Callithrix jacchus: one gene and its partners. The protein of the gene in region 2 purifies or fractionates together with the protein of the main gene of each other region. This does not show direct contact. Links are inferred from orthologs where the notes say so. Each region holds a gene or a part of one and is shown on either strand. Other genes may lie near its edges. The genes, in order: CTCF, RPL13A and RPL7L1.

What was found.
Region 1: the proteins of RPL13A (region 2) and CTCF purify together in Homo sapiens (affinity purification with mass spectrometry; 4 studies listed by BioGRID and IntAct, with this or other methods). This does not show direct contact. The link is inferred for Callithrix jacchus from reciprocal best matches to the Homo sapiens genes RPL13A and CTCF.
Region 3: the proteins of RPL13A (region 2) and RPL7L1 purify together in Homo sapiens (affinity purification with mass spectrometry; 3 studies listed by BioGRID and IntAct, with this or other methods). This does not show direct contact. The link is inferred for Callithrix jacchus from reciprocal best matches to the Homo sapiens genes RPL13A and RPL7L1.

Annotation. Positions count from the first base shown.
Region 1 is NC_133521.1:25,148,162-25,150,771, reverse strand, and holds the end of CTCF (transcriptional repressor CTCF), read right to left. Parts: intron 2,101-2,610; coding exon 1,916-2,100; 3' UTR 628-1,915; downstream 1-627.
Region 2 is NC_133523.1:43,259,216-43,263,585, reverse strand, and holds the start of RPL13A (large ribosomal subunit protein uL13), read right to left. Parts: upstream 2,893-4,370; 5' UTR 2,871-2,892; coding exon 2,856-2,870; intron 446-2,855; coding exon 373-445; intron 333-372; exon of another isoform or gene 249-332; intron 75-248; coding exon 9-74; intron 1-8. Other genes in the region: FLT3LG (fms-related tyrosine kinase 3 ligand), read right to left, coding at 4,308-4,370. UniProt on the Homo sapiens protein: Associated with ribosomes but is not required for canonical ribosome function and has extra-ribosomal functions.
Region 3 is NC_133505.1:51,390,416-51,392,990, reverse strand, and holds part of RPL7L1 (ribosomal protein uL30-like), read right to left. Parts: intron 2,263-2,575; coding exon 2,099-2,262; intron 839-2,098; coding exon 701-838; intron 1-700.

The DNA of each region.
Region 1 (2,610 bases), on a different chromosome or scaffold from region 2:
AGAGAATCCCTTGAACCCAGGAGGTGGAAGTTGAAGTGAGCTGATATTATACTATAGCAAGATGATTTTCCACTAATGAACAAGATTCCAAACACGACATAACTCCCTTTCCACCCACCTTCCTGGGCTGCTAACAGGCAGCTCTACTATCTAGGAGGGTCTCCTCACTACCCGGTAGTTGTGCATCTGTCTCTCCTTTCAAATGAACTTCTCTAGGGTAGGCTGGGCCTAGCTTCTCTCTGTTCCCTCACACCTGGCAGAGCTCCAGGTACTGATCCCAGCCCTCCTTGAGTGGAGATCCTGAGTATAGAACTTTCCATCAGCCCCTTTCACTCTAAGCAGCTCTATGGCCCACCTACTCAAGTGGATCACAGAAGCTATGGCTGCTGTCCATCTACTCACCTCTCTGCTCACACACACTTTTGGGGGAGTAAAAAGTTATAGCAGGATGCACTCAATATCCAGTCACCTGCCAAGATCATCTCCTCCCATCTGCTAGAGGAAGTACCATCCTAGGGAACAGAGGTTGCCTGTGAAAGGCAGAAGCCTGCACAGCCTGGAAACCATGTAAGCAGCCCCCCAACCTCCCTCAAGCAGGCAGGAATTAAGCAAGATGGAGTCTTTGGAGCACTTGTTAATCCGTTATGATTTATTAGCTGTACAGCAGTAGATCCTCCTCCCCAGCTTTCAACCCCATTACATATTTTATTACAGGTCTCATGTTGGCATCCTAAAATAATGAAAAATATCACACAGTACAGCTAAGTACAAAATGCATCAACCTAGAGTCTGATAGCTAACTGATGGCTCTCTTAAAAGCAATACACAGAAGAAAAAAGTGTTTGAAATCAGTAAGACTGAGGCTCTCTAAAAAACACATTTTTAAACATGTGACGGTTCATGTGCAAGAATCACTTTTTAGTTGGTTTTGCTTCACATTATTTTTTGAAGATCCAAAGTTTAAATTACTGACCTAGTGAAATTTTCTGGCCCAGCTTTATAAGGGCTGCTGTGACCCACTCATAATCAGCCTTCTGCTTTAACAGAAGATTTATAAAACACAGCATTCAGCTACAAACAGGGCAAAGAAAATGTCGATGGGAAATCATAACTCAAAGTTAATTGTATAAGGTTCAAATGCTGGCTCCGTGGGCTGGAAATCATGATCTGCCACGTGGGTGTCCGTCACTGGCGGGCAGTGCCATTCTGCTACATGATTGTGATCCAATTCCTTGTCAACATTTACTCACTACAGAGTCTGTGGCAACTTAATTTGCAAGTAATTAAAATGCTGGGTTTTCTTACACTGCACTTCTTTTCAACCTCTTAATTAATGGAAAAGATTAAAATGTAAAAAAAGTTATTTACAAGCTTGACCATACCAGAAACTTTGCCAAGAAAGAGGCAAAGCTTTCAGGACAGAACCTGATCGTAGCATGCCATACTACTGGTGTGCAGCTGACTCCAAGCAAAGGGAGTCAGGGAAAAGCAAAAGCAAAAAACAGTTTAAAAGTCTAAGTCCTTCCCAAGTATACATTTACAATTAAAAACTCTCTTGGGAAGAAGACCATAGAACTCTGGGAAGCCTGGTGGCCATTCTGGAGTGGTTTACCACATGGAGGGAGGGGTCAATGTCTCCGTTTCCATCTAGAAACGAGTTAGTCGTCAACACTGTCCTCAGCACTTCACAGTAAACCCTCGGGGACTCAGAACATTCCATGATTTGCTAACATCAGACAGCAAATTCTAGTTAAATCACATTTTTTCTAACATCAGCGTTGAAGTTTTCGTTCTTGGTATGTTTGGTAAAATGGGCTTCTTTTCCCAAAGCCAAAAGAAAGAAGGGAGAAAAATTAAGATGCAGGCCGTTTAAACACAGCCCAGAGCAGTCCTGGTGATGCATAAGGCTCCGCCATCACCGGTCCATCATGCTGAGGATCATCTCGGGCGTGAGGTCTCCATTGGGGGCATCTGTGGCAGCTGGCTGGGCCTCCTCTTCCTCCCCCTCTGCGGGCTCAGCATCTGGCTCTTTTTTTACTTCAACTATAATGTTCTCAATTGCACCTGTATTCTGGTCTTCAACCTGAATGATGGCTGTTGCTGGCAAAGAAGAGCACAGACAGAACAAATGGTGCAGTAAAGCCCCAAGAATCACAAGGGTCCTTTAGATTGACAGTGAATGAGATGTCAGCAATGCAGGAAAGCCTTATTAGCTAGCAATCCACAGAAAGTCAATTTAAAGAGCCCCCGCCCTTTCTTTTTTTAAGGTGGAGTCTCACTCTGTCACCCAGGCTGGAATGCAGTGGCACAATCTCAGCTCACTGCAACCTCTGCCTCCTGGGTTCAAGTGATTCTCCTGCCTCAGCCTCCCGAGTGGCTGGGACTGCAGGGGTGCGCCACCACGCCCAGCTAATTTTTGTGTTTTTAGTAGAGATAGGGTTTCACCATGTTGGCCAGGATGGTCTCAATCTCTTGACCTTGTGATCCACCAGCCTCGGCCTACCAAAGTGCTGGGAATCATAGGCATGAGCCACTGTGCCTGGCTAGAAAGCCAATTAAAGGGCTAGGTGTGGTGGCTCATGCCTGTAATCCCAGCACTTTGAAAGACTG
Region 2 (4,370 bases):
TCACTTACACTTGTTTCTGTAGAAATTGCCAGAAATGTTGATGCCCTCGCAGCGAACGACCACCACCTTCCGGCCTAGAGGGAGGGAGAGGATTACGAAGAGCTGAGGGCTCTACCACAGCCTGCACAGGCATCCCCCAGACACAATGCAGTACTTGCCAGAGCCAAGTTCATGTTTAAATGAAAAGCTAGCCTAATGCACAATCACTTCTGAGCCTCAAGTCCCTGGCCCTGGGGAAGATTTGCTGGCAGGTCTCAGAGCGGTGCATGGGGTTGATCTCATGGCCGTGAGACTCAAACGAAAGATGGTGAATGTTGCTCATCACGGACCGCCAGCGGTGGCTCCACAGGGGGACTCTGGGGGGCGACTTACCCAGCAGTACCTGCTTAGCCACGATGGCTGCCAGGCGGCCCAGGAGATGGCCTCGACCATCAAGCACCAGGACCTGTGGGAGACAAGGACAGTCTTTTTTTGTCCTCAAGCAACCTTGAACCCAGCCATCACAGCTGGGAACTATGCACCGAGGCCCACTCTACAGATGAGGACAGGGGCTGAGAACACAAGGCTGCTTCAGGAGTGAGTGAGCAGTGCAAATGCCCGAACCCCTCTCCTATCTCAGGTCTTCTATGTTTTTTTAATGCTCAGACTGTATTTTGCGAAGCAAGAGGATGAGCAAGGACTTCAATGTAGACCAGCAAGGCTCTGCCCACTGATTATCCAGTTACAAGACCTTATAACTAAGTGTAGGAGTGACAGTGAGTGTCTTGCTGTTGCACAGGCGGTCAACCTCCCAGATCAAGCTATCCTCCCACCTCAGCCTCTTGAGCAGCTGGGGCCACAGGCACACCGCCACCACACGCAGCTATTTTTATTTTTTTTTTTTGAGATGGGAGTTTCTCAGACTTGAAATGGGCGAGAAAGGAATTAAAAAAAAAAAAAAAAAAAAGGAATGGAGTTTCATTCTTGTTGCCCAGGCTGGAGTGCAATGGTATGATCTCAGCTCACTGCAACCTCCGCCTCCCCTGAAGCTTGGATTACAGGCTCCCACCACCATGCCTGGCTAATTTTTGTTTTCAGTAGAGACGTGATTTCGTCATGTTGGCCAGGGTGGTCTCGAACTCCTGACCTCAGGTGATCCACCAGCCTCAGCCTCCCATATAATTTTTGTACTTTTTTTGTTCAGTCAGGGTTTTGCCATGTTGCCTAGGCTGCTCTTGTATTCGTGGCCTCAAGTGATCTGCCGGCCTCAGCCTTCCAAAATGCTCGGATTACAGGGTCGAGCCACCATGCCCAATCAATTGTAGAATATTAACAGCATCTATCCTCTGTATAGGGTGTTGCTACCACAAATTTCATTTGGAAGAAAACCGAACTTCAGGTGGGGCGAGGTTAGGCCGAGCAGGCATAAACCCATGCTAGCTCTGCTATTGCCACTCTCCTTGCCTAGGTAAACTGCTCAGGCACCCAGCCTCAGCTTCCTCTAGAGGAGAAATCCTGGCCAGGCGCAGTGGCTCACACCTGTAATCCCAGCACTTTGGGAGGCCTAGGCGGGCGGATCACTTGAGGCCAATACGGTGAAATCTCATCTACTAAAAACACAAAAATCAGCTGAGCATCACGGCGGCCAGCTGTAGTCCCAGCTACTTGGGAGGGTGAGGCAGGAGAGTCACCTGAACCTGAGCAGAGGTTGCAATGAGCCAAGACCCCGCCATTGCACTCCAGCCTGGGAGTCAAGGCGACTCCATCTCAGAAAAAAGGAAGAAAACCCCAGAGTAGATATCTTCATTGTTATAATGCAAAATCACGAGGCATATATTTGTTGTTACACGTCCTTTGTAAGTGTTGGAACGCAATACAGATATACACAATCTAAATCCAGACTTCCCGAAGTCTTGACCTTGGCCCAAACTCACCAATTCCCAAGTTTTGATTCCCTCCCCTGTCAAATAAGGTTAACAGTATCTGCCTCAGGAATATCGTTAACTAGACGAAACAATGCAAACTGTTAGACACAAAGACACACGTTCGGTGAACACCACCACTTGCTTAGATCAGCCTGGCTCAGAAATTCCGCCCCCAACAACCAGACTATTCACAAGGAAACCTTTCCAGGGCCAACCTCCACTTTATAGTTAATTACACAAGGAACAGGAAAAAGGCCCCCCGGGCGTTTGCAGAAAAAGATGTTCCATCCTTGTGGAACCATTTGTCACAGCTCTCCACTTTCAGAAGCCAGCAGGCCTCAGGACAATCGCCAACCCCCTCAAACGAAGGAAAACGATTCATTCCTGAGTGCCCGGCAGGCAACAGCTCTCTCGACCCCCCGCAGAAAAGTATTGAGAATCAAAACCACCGAGCTGCAGGGGACCCCGATTAACACCTCCACGTGAGATTAAAGCAGCCCGCGCACTGGGAAGGATGGAAATACCTTCCATTTTGGGCAATCCTCAGTTTCTCACGGCCCCGAAACGGCCCGGCCAGACTTTCGCGTGTTCCCCATCGCCGAGGACACACAAGGGTCCAATTCAGCCAAGACTCGACCCCGGTGCCCCCACCCATTACCCAAGCTCAAGGTAAGCGAGGTCTAGTTGTAAAGTAATCCGTCCTGTACTGGGAGCTCCATCACCCTCGCCACGAGAAAGAAATGCCGCATTGTAGCCAACCCTAGGCCTAAAGAGAGCCCCGTCCTTTTCTACATTTTCCCCTTACCCTAAAACACTTCTATTTTGCTTAACTGTAGGTGTTAAACTCTGCAACACAGGTAGCAGAACCGAGAGGGTACGACCCCGTTCCGGCCTGAATCCCACCCGGCCCCATGCCACCCCATGCCGCCCCGACACATGCGGAGCCCGCACCTGCACCTCCGCCATCTTCGGGAGCCGCCCGGGAAAGGAGGAGGTCTTGTTACAGGGTTTCTTATCCCTTAAAACAGGGGCGGCAGAAGTGACGTGAGCGCGCAAACAACTTTCTGTGTTGTCATTGGTCAAAGGGTTGTGCGCGCGCGCAGAGATGCCCCACGGAAGGCGGGTTATCTTTTAATTGTCCAATCCGGACACACTTCCGGTCAGACCTCCGCGACCAGAGCTGGGCCCTGCAATAGATCACGTGGGGTGTGGAAGCGGTGCTGCTGGGGTGTGGCCGTCGCGTCTCTGCGGCCGTGTGTTTGAGGGGCTGTAAATCTCGTTCACACGCTCTGTCTGCCTTGTTTCTAAGTGGAAGCGCCACTACTCCTTCAAGCGACTGAAGGCTGCAGGGCCTCTGGTGGCCCTCAGGGGGAGACCAGACCCGCCAGGCCCGCCCTTCCACGCTCAGTCCAGGCTTACTTTATTTTCTAAGACAGGGTCTCGGTCTGTCACCCAGGTCAGAGTGCAGTGGGGCGATCATGGCCCACCGCAGCCTCGACTTCCGAGTCTCAAGGGATCCTTCTGCCTCTTCCTCTCCAGTAACTGGGACTACGGGGGCGTGCCATCACGCCTGGCTATATATATGTATATATTGTTTGTTTTGTCAAGGCGGGGACGGGGGCGGTGGGGAGTCTTGCCATGTTGGCCAGGCTGGTCTCAAACTCCTGGGCTCAAGCGATCTTCCCATCTGGGCCTCTCAAAGTGCTGGGATTACCGGCGTGAACCCCGGTGCCCTGCCCGTTCTAGGTTTAGAGATTTGGATTCCGGTGTCTGGTCGACTTCACTCTGACCTGGACAAATCCCTGGCTTTATCTGGGCCTCAGTTTCTCCATCTGTAAAACAGGTGGAAGTGGTCTTCCCCAGGGGATCTAGGAGTGGATGAAGGAATGACTTCTAGATACCTGGCTGCACCAATCCGCTGAGCGTTCCTCTGAGAAACTTCTCACTTTCTGGACTGTTGGCCTTTGCTTCAGATGGGTCCCTTGCCCAGGATGCCCTCCCCAACCCCTCCAAATCTGGCTTGTCACCATCGCAGTGCCCTTTGGCTCTGGAAAGCCTCTCTGATCTCCCAGCCTGGGTTAGTTGCCACCTACACCCCTGGGCTCCCACACTGCCTCTATGCTATCTCCATAGGAGCCTGTGGCATCCTGCACGCAGGCACGCTGAGTCCCTTGTCTTCTCCTCCATAGCCTAGGAGACCTGGGGCGTCTGGGCTGGTTCTGACTCCGATCCGGGCTCTAGCATTAACCAGTCCCGGCCTGGGCCTCCAGGAGACCTCAGAAAACACCTATCGAATGAAACATTGCATTGCAATGGAAAAACCAAGACTGAAATCAAAACTACCCCATCCACACCCAGACAGACCTGGCCAGAGCTGGTAGAAAAGGATGATTTGTATACATTTCATGGGACAACAGCTTTGTACAGAGTTGGGTAAATGGGGCCGGTGCTGGGTTCTGGTGTTGC
Region 3 (2,575 bases), on a different chromosome or scaffold from region 2:
CTAGGACTCTGGCCTTAAGCAACCCTCTACTCAAGATGGCACAAGAGCTAGAAATGAAATCCAAGCTTTTGTTGAGTTTCAATGTTTGAGCAATACTACTCTTACACAAACACTGCCCTTAGCTCTGCTTTAAGACTTTGAAGAACCAATCTCTGCTTGATCCAGCCTTACCCTACAACTAAACCAGCCCTACTATGGCACTGTTAAGACTCCTCCCTGCTGGGCGTGGTGGCTCACGCCTATAATCCCAGCACTTTGGGAGGCCAAGGTGGGTGGATCACGAGGTCAAGAGATCGAGACCATCCTGGTCAACGAGGTGAAACCCCGTCTCTACTAAAAATACAAAAATTAGCTGGGCACGGTGGTGCGCGCCTGTAGTCCCAGCTTCTCGGGAGGCTGAGGCAGGAGAATTGCTTGAACCCAGAAGGTGGAGGTTGTGGTGAGCTGAGATCGCACCATTGCACTCCAGTTTGGGTAACAACAGTGAAACTCCGTCTCAAAAAAAAAAAAAAAAAAAAAAAAGACTCCTCTGTACCCCGTGTGCTATGTTTCTTAAAGCTACCTGCTGATTTCAGGGTGACCGTGGTCACAGCAAAATGTTCCTTCTACAGTGACATGAACCCTGGAGAATGAGACCCAGTGCACCCTAACACACTCAAATAGAAATCTAATGTGAATTAACACAGGAAGTCTTACTCACCCCCAGGTCACATAAGGTTCCACTATACGCAGCATTTTTAGGTTCTGGGGAGTGACTTTTACGAAGACACCACTAAAAATTTTCTTTAGGCGAAGTCTTGCAATGGTTCTCTGCACCAGTAAACTCACACCATCAATCCTGAAATGAGTAACAACAGAAGTCAGACAGACTCCCTCCAGTTTATGTCAGTCCAGCAAGCACAACATGCGAGGTCACAACACTGGCTATCTGGAGCTCAGTTTAGTGGGAGGTGGTTATGAAAACATATCCTTTCATGATGTGGAGCAATGCCTGGGGTGCTATGGAAACACAGAGAAAGTCCCTGAATTTGTGTGTGTTTCAGGGGTAGGGGGAGTGGTGGTATGTAGGTCTACGCATGTCCAGCTAAGGAAGCTGGATGTGCTTGTACGGGCGGTAAAAGCTACTGAAGAATTTTTTTTGAGACGGAGTCTCACTCTGCCACCTAGGCTGGAGTGCAATGGCATCATCTTGGCTCACTGCAACCGCTGCCTCCTGGGTTCAAGCAATTCTCCTGCCTTAGCCTCCTGGGCAGCTGAAACTACAGGCGTGCACCACCATGCCCAGCTAATTTTTGTATTTTTAGTAGAGACGGGGTATCGCCATGTGGGCCAGAATGGTCTTGATCTCTTGACCTCGTGCTCTGCCTGCCCTGGCCTCCCAAAGTGCTGGGATTACAGGCATAAGCCACCGCACCTGGCCACTACTGAAGATTTTAAGCAGAAGCAACACCACCAGATTTTCTTCTGACAATTACCAAGGGCCATGTATGGAACAGATCAGTGCGTGACACTAGAGACAAGGAAATCCAGAAGGAAGGTTAATACAATAGTCTAGGAAAAACACGCACAGTGGCAGAGTGCCACAAAGGACAGAGCTCATAAATATGCAAAAGCCACGGGGTGACTGGGTAGGGGAAACAGCAAGAAGTAGAGCTGTACAAAGGGGTAGGGATGGGGTCAGGAAAGTTCCACTAAATGAGGAAAAGTATCTCCCCTTCAAAGAATATGCTTCATCCACTTGGCCTTGTTTCAGTTCCTAGAATGATTTCCCCACCTCAGGACTTCAGCATGTATGCCTGCAAAGTCTCCCAACAACGGTGAACGCCTTTTACATCTTTCAGGTCTCAGGCTGAAGTTCCTGCTTTAGAGACGGTGTCCTCAACCCATCTCCCTAGCGAGCACTTTACCCTCACATCACTTATTTCCAAGCCTATCTGTCTAAGGAGGTCTTCCAAATACTTCAGACTAAACTGTGCTTAACCCTGACATCCTAGCAGAACTTGCCTGAGTGGCTTGGGTCTAATATCTTATCTCCCTAGAAATGGGTCTAAAGCTTAACCAACAGCCTCATGCAATTAGGAAGACACCAATTCCTTACCTTTCAATGCGTACGACAAAGGCCAAAGAATGTTTATCTGGCAATTCCAAGGCGTGAGGCTTCACTTCTAGTCGTCTGACACGCACCTTGTCACGGGTCTGCCGCCAGGAATCATGTAGGAATGATTCCAATCGCTTAAACCTGGGCCCTTTTCCTTTCCTCTGCTGCAGAGAAGACAGACCGTCATCACCATCGTCATTTTGTGCTTCCATTCATTTTTACTTTTACAACAGTAATTTATGAGTGACAACTGATAGAGCTTTTTCCCCGTGTTCTACAATGGGGAGCAAAGCAACATCCTCTGTTTTCATATAAAGGAAAAATCAGAAACCAAAGTAAAGGTGGAGGAGAGAAAACTTGGGAATTATTGGGAAAAATAATCAACAAACAAAAAATTAATTTACATGCTATTAATCATGTTTACTAACAAGTTTCCTTAACAAACTCAACTCCAGCATTTTGCCTGCAGGTGTTAAG